2 linked regions of the Caenorhabditis elegans genome follow. The protein of the gene in region 2 purifies or fractionates together with the protein of the main gene of each other region. This does not show direct contact. Each region holds a gene or a part of one and is shown on either strand. Other genes may lie near its edges.

The links. Proteins that work in one complex are often made in the same cells at the same time.
Region 1: the proteins of M79.2 (region 2) and pho-11 fractionate together in Caenorhabditis elegans (co-fractionation; one large-scale study listed by BioGRID). This does not show direct contact.

What each region holds. Positions count from the first base shown.
Region 1 is NC_003280.10:9,928,220-9,935,707, reverse strand, and holds pho-11 (Putative acid phosphatase 11), read right to left. Parts: upstream 3,860-7,488; 5' UTR 3,846-3,859; coding exon 3,753-3,845; intron 3,668-3,752; coding exon 3,473-3,667; intron 3,426-3,472; coding exon 3,332-3,425; intron 3,112-3,331; coding exon 3,029-3,111; intron 2,935-3,028; coding exon 2,845-2,934; intron 2,559-2,844; coding exon 2,351-2,558; intron 2,307-2,350; coding exon 2,131-2,306; intron 1,738-2,130; coding exon 1,597-1,737; intron 1,552-1,596; coding exon 1,411-1,551; intron 1,365-1,410; coding exon 1,344-1,364; 3' UTR 1,277-1,343; downstream 1-1,276. Other genes in the region: C05C10.3 (putative succinyl-CoA:3-ketoacid coenzyme A transferase, mitochondrial), read left to right, coding at 1-149, 198-395, 838-1,161; C05C10.2 (DNA2/NAM7 helicase-like C-terminal domain-containing protein), read right to left, coding at 5,201-5,260, 5,377-5,571, 6,659-7,488.
Region 2 is NC_003284.9:10,625,196-10,632,509, forward strand, and holds M79.2 (Phospholipid/glycerol acyltransferase domain-containing protein), read right to left. Parts: upstream 3,613-7,314; 5' UTR 3,611-3,612; coding exon 3,525-3,610; intron 3,476-3,524; coding exon 3,364-3,475; intron 3,311-3,363; coding exon 3,257-3,310; intron 3,203-3,256; coding exon 3,081-3,202; intron 2,880-3,080; coding exon 2,792-2,879; intron 2,739-2,791; coding exon 2,507-2,738; intron 2,459-2,506; coding exon 2,236-2,458; intron 1,919-2,235; coding exon 1,812-1,918; intron 1,764-1,811; coding exon 1,646-1,763; intron 1,594-1,645; coding exon 1,410-1,593; 3' UTR 1,323-1,409; downstream 1-1,322.

The DNA.
Region 1 (7,488 bases), on a different chromosome or scaffold from region 2:
CGAGAGAAATCATTGCAGCACGTGCAGCTTTGGAGTTCACAGATGGAATGTACGCCAATTTGGGTATCGGGATTCCGACTTTGGCGCCAAATTATATACCAAATGGATTTACTGTTCATTTGCAAAGTGAGAATGGTATTATTGGAGTGGTAAGGAAATTTAAATTAATTATTTTTATTTTCATTTTTGTTTTTCAGGGACCATATCCAAGAAAAGGAACAGAAGACGCCGATCTCATTAATGCTGGAAAAGAGCCAATTACTCTTCTCAAAGGAGCTTCAATTGTTGGTTCTGATGAATCATTCGCAATGATTCGTGGTTCTCATATGGATATTACTGTGCTCGGTGCACTTCAGTGCTCACAGTTTGGAGATTTAGCGAATTGGATGATTCCGGTGAGCTTTGAGAAAAAATAGATCACTGATAATTCGTTCTTTGTGTTTTAATCGACCGAGTGATAAGATAAATATGATCAGTGATCTGAAATTATTTATCAGTGATGTCTAAAAACGCTCGAAGTTTCAACTAAAAAAGATAAGCAACTCAAATTAAATAAAATGCACGCAGCACATAGACTGATCGAAAATTATTAACCGAACAATTTTGGCCAGATCTAGTCTCAATAAAAATAATTTTTTGATTAAAAATATTAATTCTACAAAACTCCAAAAAATCTTGATTTTATTTCTTAAATATATATCTGAATTTATTTTGTTGGTCCGAAAAAACTTTAAAAAAAAAACGAAAAACCCCCAAAAACAAAAAATTTAGACAACTTCATAAAAATATACTTTTCCGCTTAATCTTCCATCTTAATAAATTTCTAAAATTTTCCAGGGAAAATTGGTGAAAGGAATGGGCGGTGCAATGGATCTTGTCTCTGCTCCCGGAGCCCGTGTGATCGTTGTAATGGAGCATGTATCGAAGAACGGAGAGCCAAAAATTCTAGAGCACTGCGAACTTCCTCTGACCGGCAAAGGAGTAATTTCCCGAATCATTACTGATATGGCAGTTTTCGACGTGGACACAAAGAACGGATTGACATTGATCGAAGTCAGGAAGGATCTTACTGTAGATGATATCAAGAAACTCACCGCTTGCAAATTCGAAATTTCCGAAAATCTGAAGCCAATGGGACAGGCTCCTCTTAATCAAGGATAATTTGTCAATTTTGACAAATTTCCGTGAAATGTGTAAATACTTCTTTAGTCCGTTGTTTGTTACTTTTTTGTCTTTTGCCTATAATACCGGTTTAGGATTGTGTGAACAAAAAGAGTTTTAATGAAATAGTTCATAAAAAAATATAAAAATTGAGTTACAACAAAAATTACAGTTCCAGTAATTCATAGAGGAGTTTTGCAGAGCTGAAAATTTTTTATAAAGTCGAAATTTTTGGAAACAAGAGCTTACAGTAGTAATATCTGGAAGTGGCTTCAGTGTCTCGGCCAAAGTCTGAAGAGCTCCAAGTGGACACAAGGTGGCTCCATTACAAATTGGAAGTTGACTTGTCACATCAGAAATCGGAGTGTCATCTCCTTCACGGTACAGAACCTGAAAATTTAATTGTTCGAATTTTCTGGTTTCTCTCTGGAATACCTTGAAGAATCTCTCGTTTGTTGACGTGTTTCTGTGGAATTCCATAAATATTCCAGCTGCGTATGCTGGCCATCCGTCAAGTGTGTTAGCGATTTGTGGAATACCAAGAGCAACCAGGACACCGTACACATTGTTGTCATGCTGGAAAACGAATTTGTTGTGAGATCTTGGAAAATTGATTTCAAAAATTAAAAAAAACATTTTTTTTGTCAAAATTTTTTTTTCTGAAAATCCTGAAAAAATTCGCATGAAAAGTAACTAGCTTTTCTTTTCTTTTTTTTTATATTTCAATTTCTTAGAGTTACCTACAATGCTTGCCTACATTCCGACAAGCCTTGACTGGTGCCTCGGCATGAGGTAGGCAGAGGTAGCTAGGGATGAACAGATTCCTACCTACTATGATGGTATACTTAACTTCCAGTCAAGTACAGTAATACTACCGTAGTCTACCGTATTCCCAACTACGGTAAGATCGTGGCTAGATATCATGCATTTTTGAACTTAAATTATGGAGTAAACTTTAAAATCTCTTACAATAGAATATCCATAGAATTTCAGCTTATTCAAATAGCTAGTGCAGTTTTGTCCCAGCTCTGCACAATTCAATTTTTCATTGGCACGATTGAAAACTTCATTGATAATAACTCCGGATCGAACTTTTTTGATTTCAAGACCCACATCGAGCCCGGAAGAAGTGACAGCAGGATTCTCTGAAACCAAGCTTCACTGAGACTTTAATCTCGTCCCAACTAACCAAAATTTCCCTCTAAAAATCCCTTAACCGGAGCATATGTAACTTGGGCTTGATAGTAGAGTTCTTCATTGTACCATGGAAGCTTCGCGTACATAGTTCTGTTGAAATATGCTCTCTGGCATTTCCACGTATCTGGGTATGTTGTGAAGGAGTCTAGGCCAGATGTCATGTTGTAATATCCACCGACACGACGGTTAAGTAGGACCACCTAAAAATTGAAATTCAGAGGAGGCACGTGCCTGCCTACCGTCTATTTTCTACATTCAGGCAGTCAGGATTTAAACTACAATATTTGAGATTCACATATTGTAGCTTTACGCATTTGATCGAATGATAAATGAACAATCGTTCACGAAAAACTTGACAGTAGGTCTACTAGTAGGCAAGCGTCTAGGCGGAAGGCAGGCATTTTAGGCGCCTGTTCATAGTTACCGACAAAGCCATCACAACGTGAATACGGTTACCGATGATAGTATAATTCAATCAAACCTTACCTGCGTATACTTTGGCAAAACTTCCGGAAGAGTCAACATCTGCCCTTGGAGAAGATCGTATCTTGTGCATGGACAGTTCTGACTAGCGGCCTGGAAAGGTTTGTAATAATTTTGTAATTTTAACTGGCACGCGCAGTAAGATTATTTAAGACTACTCGAGAACCAATGTAAATTTACAACATACACACTGATCCGGACCATCGACGTGAACTGGAACAAACGTGAATCCAGGGAACCAAGTGAGTGGGGAGTATGGATAGTCAACGTCTGAATATGGTAATCATCAAAACTAATGCATTAGAGGTAATATAATAGTTGGATTTTTGCTAATTTTATAAGAGACGTGCAGACAATTTCAATATGAAAAATTAAAAAGTAAAGATATCACTGGACTAAATTTATCTATTCGTTCAACAGAAAAAGTCATATTGGCTTTAAGTTTGAACCGTTTGGCATAAAAAATTTAATCAATTTTTTGACAACCTACTTTTGACATCATACAAGCTTGGTGGAAACAGCCCGTACAAAAGTGATTGTGCCGAAATAATGGTACGATTGAAATTAGTTGATCTAAAATATACCTGGAAATAATCATATTTTGGCACGTTCTAACATTTTTAGGGTATACCTCTCTGGACGCATACTTTGGTGTCAAAAACTTCAATTTAGTAACATATCTTTTACGAATAAGCCATCCAAGTTCGTTCATTTCTCCCATTCCAATTGCAGTCAGCTCTCCGAGACCACCTCCTCCATAAATCCAATCTTTTTCGTAAATTGGGTATTGATCAACTTGAGATGCACGTTCTCCGTGTCTCCACATCTTGAAATAATTAAAAATAAATTGTACTACCCAAGTAACTTTCACTGAGGACTAAATTTGGCATTTAGGATTTCATATAACTTACCGCTTGAACAAACTCCAATTTGACATTGCTCTGCCCATTAGCAAATACCAAAATGGCTGTTGAAGCCAACAGACTGAAAATTGAGATCATCATAATTTTTGATCTACAAATGTTCCTATATCAGAACAACCTATTTAAAGAGTTGAGCTCGTTAAAAAAACCATAAAAATTGTTTCAAAATCATATCTTCAGATAGAAAATGAATAAAAATATGGTCAGTTTAATAGATATAACTATCCCGCGTTTCGATTTTCTCGTGATTACATGATAAAGCCATGTACTTTTCAGAGTGATGATAGACTGAACTCATAAAATTGGTGTGAAAGAATATGTAAACAAACTAGGTCTGCAACATTTTTTCTTATCGAATGGATATTTTATCAATTCTGGTCTAAAGTCGAAATATATGCTATCTAAAAGTTTGTGACCATGGCCGTGATCTTTGAGCACTTTTGAAAGTACCATTTATCGAATGTTGCAAAATTCATGAAACAGTCTCTGTCAGAACTATTCATGTTTTTAGTTTTTAGTATTTTTTCCAGATATATTTTTTTGCGTTTTCCAGATCTTGGGCAGGCGTTAGGCACATCCTGATTAGGTCTTGGCACAGGGCGAAGTTTACCAAAAATTTTTGGCACGTGCTCGCTGGCTGCCTCAAAATTCATGTTTTCTCGCGGACAAGAAAACTTGAGAAATGTGAGCAAATGGCCTTGAAAATCCTGGAAGAGGAGAATTCCTCGTCCACCGCCAAAATAGCGTGTGAAAGAAGAGACGCAGATGGCAAAACGGTTATCCTTTGTGTTTTTCACGTCCAGAGAAAAAAGTATTATCTGCGTCTCTCACCGCCAATGCATAGCGAGAGTTTGCAAAAAGCATTAATCTGTTAAAAAATTTGACTAAAGTTGGCAGAGCCATTTAATGCGTTTTTTAGTTCGTTCGTGAATAGTCCTACCAACAAAAACAACAGTTAATTTGTAAAGTATCCATTAAAGGATTTGAACTGTTAGTTCTCAATTAGAAAAATAAAGGTATTAGTTGAATTTTTCTTCATGGTTACTCTATATCTTTTTAATGGCTATTATATTGTACGCACTTAAAACCAACTTTGAAAATTTATAGTTTTTTATTTCTAAATTGTAATACATATTACAAGTTTTATTTTACCATAATTCTCTTGGTCCCAACTTTTTCCGTACAATTTCTGAAAATGTTTAAACATTCTTCTGTGATTCAATGTCTTCAAAAGAATTTCCAAGACAGACAAAATCCATTTCATATAAAAATGGAACACTCAATTTCAACAGAAAAAAAACACTCAATTTCAACAGAAAAAAAAAATTAAAACAACCAAAAAGTGAAAGCTTGGAGATGGAAACAAAAGATCATCATGAAAATTTGATATGAATACAAACGGTAAAAACAACTAGTAGAAGACTAAAATTGGATATTTATGTTGATTTCTGGATGGTGGGCCAATCTCCATACGTCTCGTCATCCCATTTCTGAAACTATTATCGGATTAGATCAGTCAATGTTTGGATTACAGTATGTAAAAGTTACTTTTACTGCGATGATATAAACTTTTAAACATTAAAAAATGGCAAATAATGAATGCCCTGCTTACCCCAACAAATTCTGGATTCAATGAGTTAGTCACGCTCCGTTGGCTACCGTAATCATTGTTACTTTGTCTTTTAACGTGTTTGTGTTGTGAATTATATTCATTGGCACGTTGTTGTTTCGATTGTCGTGATGTTGAAATTAGTGGATACGATGACAATGATACCTTATTTCTTCGTTGATTTTGATACCAGTCATTCTGAAAGCAAATTTCAGTAATTCATAAAAATAATATTAGTGAGGCGTAGTCTCAGTTTGATCTACTAAGTTATACAAGCTCCGCAAGCCCTTCAAAACACTATCAAACTATTAGGTCTCCAAGTAAGTTCCGGGTCAAAAAACATAACTTTGTTTGCTGCGAATCGATTTTTCTGAAATTGTGGGAATTTATGTTATCAACCATGATCTTTCATTTGACAATAGTCACAAAATTTTTTGGCCGTCCGAAGTGCCCGTACTCGGAGCCAATTTTTTCAGGCATTTTTCAGATCTTGCTTCTTTTCAGGTTTCAACTGAGGTTTGTGTGCGGATATTGCTTAATTTAGTACACAATGTAAGAAAACAAGAAAAGTTTGAAAAAAAAATCCGTCCAAAAAAATTTTTTTTGTCGCTCGTCAAAAAATCTACAAAAAAATTTTTGTCGAAAATTCTTGAATTTTTATACAAAAATGATGTAACCATGTGCAAACTATTTTTACACATACAAAACATTTGAGTATGAAATTTGGATCTCGAGAAATACTCCAAAAACTCGAAAATAGTTCGAAAGAGCTGTGTTTTTTGTTATTTTTTAGTGTGACGCACTAAATTGAATTTTTTTTGTATGTGTAAAAATAGTTTGCACATGGTTACGTCATTTTTGTATGAAAAATCAAGAATTTTCGACAAAATTTTTTTGACGAACGACAAAAAATTTTTTTTTGGACGGATTCTTTTTCAAACTTTTCTTGTTTTCTTACATTGTGTACTAAACTAAGCAATATCCGCACACAAACCTCAGTTGAAACCTGAAAAGAAGCGAGATCTGAAAAATGCCTGAAAAAATTGGCTCCGAGTACGGGCACTTCGGACGGCCAAAAAATTTTGTGACTATTGTCAAATGAAAGACCATGGTTGATAACATAAATTCCCACAATTTCATAAAAATCGATTCGCAGCGAACAAAGTTATGATTTTTGACCCGGAACTTATTTGGAGACCTAATAATTAAAAACAATAACCAATATTGAACGGAACTTAGTATTTCAAACTGAGTCCAAATTAAAATTTAAAAATAAAAAACTTACTGCATTAACCAAATTCCCATTTTGCTCAATTTTGTTCACAATTGTGCTCCAATAATTGGCTCTTCTCAATCCATCCAAATGACCAATAATGATTGTGACCTGCTTCGCACGGGACATTGCAACGTTCAAGCGATTACTTAGCTGCATAAAGTCCGAGATCCGTTCGTTCGTGCTGCACATGATGATGATCTCCTTTTCAGATCCTTGGAACGCGTCGACCGTACCGCACTTGACACCGCTTCCACGTAGATGCTCAGTGAGAATCGAAGTTTGAGCACTGTAGAATGAGATCACTCCAATGTCACTTGGATTGACTGGGTTGCGAGGATCATTGATAAGATTTTGTACTATTTCTCCAACAATTGATTTCTCCGATGAGTTACTCGTAGATGTTCCCATTTTTGTAGATGCACCCGTATTGTTCACAAACATCATGGGAAACTTGGGATTAGGCCAGAAATCATCTCTCTTTGTCATGAAATCACTTCTTGCAAGCTCACTAACTCCAGAAACAAGTGCACCATCATAAAATAGCTCACTGAGCAGCTCAGTAGTCTTTGGATGACATCGGTAAACGTTTCGAAGGGTGCACACCGGAAACATTTTCTCCTTAATAGCTCGTTCCATAGTATTTCCAATTCCAAAATCTTTTAGTTTTCCTTCCAAACCTTCTTCACAATATGGTGGCAGTTGATGAATGTCTCCGATCAATCCAAAGCTTGCATTGTTGAACGATTTGAGCAATCCCAAAAGTGTGCATTCTGCCAGTTGACTTGCTTCATCAATTTGAACAGCACAGACATCTCGCAAAATATTCAGCAAACCTTTTG
Region 2 (7,314 bases):
TGCTGAAAAGTACCTATCAAGTTTTAAATAAGTTTAAAAATTTTTGGAGATTTGCATTGTTTCACGGACTATATAATTGTACATGAAGCACTAATTTTAAATTGTGTGTTTAAGAATAATTTGTTAATTGAGAACAAATTCCATACTTGAAACACTCAATAAGAACGCACTCTAATGCATACAATAATTCTTTAAAAAAACTCCCAAGTTTTAATAATTGCTGACGAAGATGTTTTGGAAAACGTGATCTCCAAGTAATGAATGCTTGGCAATTACAAATAACTTTTTGAAATCAAAAGATTATATGTGGTTGTATTTCTCCATAAAAAAGTGGAATTGTGTGTAGGGTTTTCAAAAGATGAAAATAGGTTTGTTGTTATAACATGCATATGTAATATGACTATGAAACTGTGCTATTTTGCTAGTGTTAGTGATTTTGATGGTGACAAAGTGTTCTATTTTCGATAATTTTTTTTATTTTTCGTCTTTTCTCCTCGTTTAATTGTTGGAAATTACACATTTACATATTAAGTCTACTAAAATTCTTTCACATTTACATATTAAGTCTACTAAAATTTCTCCCATCCTATTTTTATTTAAACCAGTCGTTAAAAAAAATAGCTAAAATAAATCCAAATACGAAAAAAAGTTGAAAGTAAACTTTTGTAGAGTTTTTTGCGTGTCGAAGAACTTTGAAAATAGTAAAGTTTTGTGAAATGCGCAGAACAAAAACTGAAACTAAATGGGAACACACAAAAACACAAGAGAAGACGAACATCGACAAAAAAGTTGGTAGTAGCTGCTGGTTGGCGAGGAGAGGATAATATCCCGAACACGCCAATAGAATGAAGAGGGACAAAAAAGAACACAACAAGATGTCGATGCAAAGGACGAATTATTCCTTTTTTCCTTCCATTTTTGCCATTGCGTTCATTCGAAACAACTTCTGGAAAGGAGATTCCTAACAAAGTCAGGATTGAAAAGAACGACGTAGTACATATCTAGTGAATTTATTGGTTTTTTAAAATTGCATACACATATACCTTAATTTTTTTTATTATAAAACCCAAAAACGTCGCCTCTCATTTAAATTCTGTTTTCCAGTTACAATGTTTTTTTTAATTGAAAAAGAGTGAAATTACCGATATTTTAATTTTTGAAAACTTTTTGAAAGTTTTTATTTAAAATTAATTTTTGAGACGCACATCTGTGTGTTATTTTTTCTATTTTTGTATAGTTCATTTTCATCAGTATTTTTTTGTGTAGGGCCGAATAGCAAAACGCAGTTTTTTTCGAGTTGATAAAAAATATTTTCGAAAAGTATTTTAAAGTTTTTATTATGAAGACACGTTTTGGTTGTTGTTTTAATTTTCAATATGATTTAATAACAAAAATTACAATGTACAAATTCAGTTCATAGCCGGTATCACATTTTCCTCACACTGGTTCTCCGAAACAGATTCGAAATCGTCGATGCTCAAATTATCACTGCTTCCTCCTCCACCAGATATCCCACTATCACTATTATTTCTGCTTCCAGAAATATCATGCTGAGTTTTGAGGGTTTCCTTCAGTTTATTCCTTTCTTCTTGTCTGGAATGAGACTCCGTTTGAATTATTTGTTTTTCTTGATGGGCTCACTCACTTATACCAGAGACTTCCTCCATATTCACATGATGGAATTCCGGCTGCATTCGCAATGACTTGCTGAATTCTAGCAGCAAACAGAGAATTATTTTCATGTTCTTTTCGTACTTCCATAGCTAAAATTTTTTTAAAGGAATTTTACATAAAATACATCAAAAACTCACGAAGATATTGAATGTCATAGACAACTGCCCAGTTAAGCATAATTCGAACTAAGTATTGGAAAAATTCGTCTTCATACCAAAAGCCATCTCCAAACTCTGGGGATTGCCTTAAAAAATAGTGGTTATTACAAAAAAAATGTTGAAAATTGTATTAACCAAACAGCTAATAACTTTGAGACTCGTTACCTTTTACTTTCAGAAAACTTAAAAAAAAAAGGTAATCTAGGAGAAATTGCTACTAACTGTCAGAGAATAAAAAATTTTGACTTAAAAAAATTAAACTGATATCTTCACATATCTGCACAAAAAAATACAATTATTCTTAGAACTTTTTTTTTAAATTTTTGTTAGATTAAAAAACAGTTAAGTCAATTTGAACTGTCAGCTTTCAGTTTTCCGAGGTAAAATACTGAAAAATACTCACTTAATTGCAACTGGATAGATATTGACATTTTCTTCAAAAATAGCTTTTCTGAATTGCAGCACCTTGCTGTTGTTTGAACAATATCCTTCCGGAAATAGTAACACTGGTCCTTCTCGTTTAGCAATTTTCATAACTTCAGCCAGAAATCCCTGTCTCTCATTACTGCATTTTCTTTCCAACCAAAGTGATGGGCATAGTTTCTCAACCAAATGTTCAATGATTCCTAAGTACACAAAAAGTTAACAAACAACACGTAAATAACAATAAATACCAATGATTCCTTTGTGTTTTTGGCCAGTGACAACGTATCCATATGAGCTTCCGTGTGGTGTTCCAGCCCATAAAATTTGAATATCATTTGGGGTTAAATGATTCGAAACTGCAACTCCTGGTTTCTTGGGTCTGAATTGTGGGTTTCTGTAGTTGGCAACTAGTCCCATACTACCACAAAACAATCGACAGTATACGATAGCAACCCATGTTTTTTCACGATCCGATAGTGTCTGGAGTTTCAAGTTTGATGTACAGTAATTGTTCTATAAATGATGAAACTTACTCGGAATGCGGTTTGAAGTCCAGCAAGTGCAACAAAAACAAATGATGTGAGGAGTAGACAAACTCGCACAGGCATAAGGAAAAATATTCTGAAACCATTATAAAATTTAATGTTGAATAATATATTTGAATTAAATAATATGCAGATTAAATTTTGTTTCAACATTTACTGCGTTAACGTAAGAAAATTAGAAAAATTTTGATTTGCGAATTGCGTTCTATTTTTTTAAATATAAAATTTGTATTCAGTTTTACAAAACATAACTTTAAAACTGGAAACAAGTTCTCACCTAAAAATTAATCCGGCAAAGAAAATTGCCTTCTCTGTTGAATTCCAATTCTTCTCAGGCATCATGCCTAATAGAGTAGGCCGTATCGTAGGAGCTGTTTGAAAGCATGGTCCAAGATCAGTCTGTAATTAGTCCAAACAATTAACCAATAGATTATAAACTCAATGTTAACCCACATCAATTATCCTCTTCACTCGTTCTTCAGCAATTTGATCTGCCGATTTTTCACTCTGAAAAGTCAAAACATGAGTCACCGGAAGATCCAAATGTCGACTTCACTTACCCTTTGTTCTTCACTCTCTTCATTCTCATATGTGTTTTCAAGTTTTTCTCGTGGGAAATATCCTTGAATCATTGCAACCACGTGAAGATACCATTGTGGAAGCACTCCCCAGCTGATAACATGTTTGATTTTACACAACGTCAAGTGCGTCTACGACATACCTCAGACCAAAGAAAATAAGGACGACTGTTGAGAAGTAGGTCAGTGTTATACAACTGCCATAAAAGTAAAATATTGAAAGTAACATATCTGAAATTAAATTATGAGATGAAAATGTGATTTAGAAACCAAGAAAATCAATATAAACATTTTATAAAAAGAAAAAAAACGAAGGAGGCAAGTGGAAAGAAACAAAGTTTGTTTAACCAGACAGAGTCACTGAACTGTTGACCCTGTCTCAAATAAACCACAAAAACCACATGAATACACATTTATTCATGAAAATGATTCAAAAAATGGCTGTTCATAAAAGGTTGAAGGCGAGGAAAACTTAAAAATTTCAATGAAAAAGTATTGAGGGCGGGCACTTGAGATCTAATGGTCATTTGACAGTTGGTCTATCAATAATGATTGATAACCACTATTTTTAAACTGAAGATCAAAACTAACAATAATAAATTGTCATTGGGAGACCAAAATCACATTTTATGATTCAAACTAGAACGCAACAAAAGAAAATGAAGAAAAGAAGAGAAAACTTGCAAACTTAACATCAGTTGTCGCTAATAAATTACATATGAAGAGAGCACTTTGTAGGTTAGTCGTGGTCCGCATGAGCCGGTCGTACCAGGTTCACCTCCCCATTACACTCTCTCTCTCTCTCTCTCTCTCTGAGAAAATAAGAGGGTCATCTGAGATAACGTATGATGGTGGTCTCTTCTTCCCAGCACAGAAGATGGAGAGACCAAATGGGAGGCGGAGAATGTAAAAGGAATCGTTTTTCGGAGCTTTGAATTGGCACAATTATGAATTCAAGTCGGAGAATGTATGCTTCATAAAATTTCAATAGTCAAATAATTATAAATTGGAATAATGTGGAGAAACAGTTAATTCTAAAGCAGAAAAGTTTATGCTGAATTGTGTGTACAAAGTTCATAATGTTGTGAGAGAACAATTTCTCAAAAAAAGACGTCATATTTCGACTATCAGACTATGATGAAACATAAACTGAAACATGTTTTCTTAGAAAAAAATTTCAAAAAATTCTTTCTATAGGAAATGCTCAAGATTTTGGCATCTTCTTGACATCTAGCAATATATTTTAACTGTACAGCGATTTTCAAAGTCCAAAATATATTTAAAAAATATCGTTTTAAATACAATCTGTTCTTTATCTGAAAGATGTTCAATGCAGCAATCTCTAAAATTTACAATCAGTAATGCAAAGATCGGTTAAATTTTCAGATCATATTGATGAAACAAGACATTTGAATGAAACAAACCTCTAGAACAGTTTTAAAAGTGTATACAGGATTAAATATTCACAAATAGAAAGTTTCCGCAAAAATAAAAAATATTTACATTTATAGCACTTTCTTATCGCTAAGAACAACTGAAAAGAGAAAATGAAAATACTATTTACAAACATGAACAATGAAGGGTAAAACGTTTATTTTTCTATCAAGACAGACAATCTGACCCAGTAAAGATCCAAGGAGATGAGTGAGTCACCTGACCTTTTTATGATGTCAACATTTTCAGAGTGTCAAAATACCAGTTTTGTCACGTGATTACTAATGTCGTCCTTGTAAGGTTGGGTTCAAAGTTTTATTATCAAAATCTAGTTCAAAATTTCTATATTTTGCTATTGTAGGTTTAATTTGAAAACAAAGCAGACGTGATTGTGTGAAAATTGAAAGAAAAATTAAAAATTGCAAGATCACGGTCAAGACCTTTGCACATATAAAATTATTAAACAAAAGGAAAAGCCGCGTTGATTGTTCATAAAATCTAGGAAATTTCTTGATATTGAAAGCAACCCATATCTTATCATTCAAAAAGGTGCTCGGCACGAACTATCAAATTTTATTTGGGTCAAAGTTTGCAACTCAGTGCACATTTTAGACAGATTAGGAAGTGAGACTCTTGATAAGTTAACTGCCAAGAGGGAATAGTTAGTCAAACAAATAATAGAATAAATTTGTTATCTTTTTGGGAGAACTGAATTAATTTTTTTTTTTTTCAATTCGAGAAAAAATGATTTATCAGGAACAAAATAAATAAAGCTCTACTTTGATCATTTATTTAAAAAAAAACTCAAAATAATGTGATAAAACCAATTTCTTGGGAGTGCATGATTTTATATGACGTTACTTGCTTTATAGGACTGAATCCTAAGAGAGGGAACAATATTAATAGAGAAAATTAGGTAACTTTTCTGTTAAATTGTTTTAAAAAAATGTATTCCACCTTTTGTAATTTACAAGAATCATTCCATGTTAAACATATTCCCATTTTCAAGAACAAGTACGTTTGTTGTTTTTCCCTCACATTGATCTCTGGTGTATAGATGAAATAGCATCATTATTATTACTGTCAGAAGATGAGGATCAGTTGTTTGACATGTGCTTGTTTTGTTTGTCTATTTTGTGGAGTCAAAAACTGGAAAAAAAAACTTCTGATTGTTTTTCAAAAATTGTAATGGTTAAAAGTTCATCAGTCCAGAATTCACGTGAACGAGAAACAAATCAACAGTGTGAAGCAAAAACAGACATGAATCTTTGTCCTTGATAAAAATTTATAACTTTCAATTTATTTCTTAGCTACTGTAGTATAAATGCTTAACAAGAATGTTATTTGAGTACAACTGTACCTGGTATCAGTTTCGCACGTGTTAAGATTTTATGGATCATGAAAGAGATTACGGAGTTTAAAGGTTATTGCGAACAAATTTTGAAGACGTGAAATAAATTGAACAATAACTCATTTAAGCTGCGGATATTTTGAAATCACTACTGCAGTTCTCTCAAATTTAACTATGTTGAAATTAGCGCTTGATGAAAAATATCAAATTGATAATTTGCTAAGTAACGTTAGACTATTTGCTTAGACTACTTGTTTTGCAAGAAAACTATATTATAGGCCACTGGAAAAGTTAATAGTGTAATGCTTATGCATACAAGTAATAAGACTCAAGAACATTTCAAACATTAATCGTCAAAACTTAAAAAAAATATTATTTACGGTGTACTTTAAAATAAAATTTGAACATTTGAAAAATTTGAAAAATTGTATAAAATCATTGAAAATATATTCAGGAAGAAAATCAACACTATTGAGGATTCTAATAACAAAAATAGCTTCCACTCTCAGATGATTACCAAATTCTTCTATTAGACTACTTTAAAAAAAGTTACATTGCATTGAAATTTAATTTATCAGAACAAAACTGTCAAAAAGTACATAAAATGAACAAAATGATCAAATTGACAATCAGTTCAGCAGTGGAACGATAAACAAATATTTTCTACTCGTTCTCTATTTTATTAGGGAAGCACCAATTTTATTTTTGTTATTCTTTCCCGGAATAATCATTCGAAACGTGGAGCCTGATAGTGATAAAAATTGTGCATCTTGCTGCGAACGTACTCACTATGTGGTATGATCGACAGTAATTCTCAATTTATCAGTGGAGGAAATAACTGATTTCCGATACATGTCTTCGATCTATCTTCTAATCTTTATTTAAACAACTAGGCGTGATGGGAAGAATAACTATTCGGAAGTGAAAAAGAAAAAGAAGATGATTGGAATTCGAAGACGTTTGTCTTTGACAAAATGTGATATTTGAAAAGTCTATTCAACAGATTATGAAGTTTTCATTGGAATATTGCATAGCGTGGAATTACATATTACATATTAATTGAAAAAAGAAAGCTTTGGTGCACTGAACACCTGGTTACTTGGCGACAAGGCTTTTTAAAACATTCAGTTTTTTTGTAAAAACTTCAG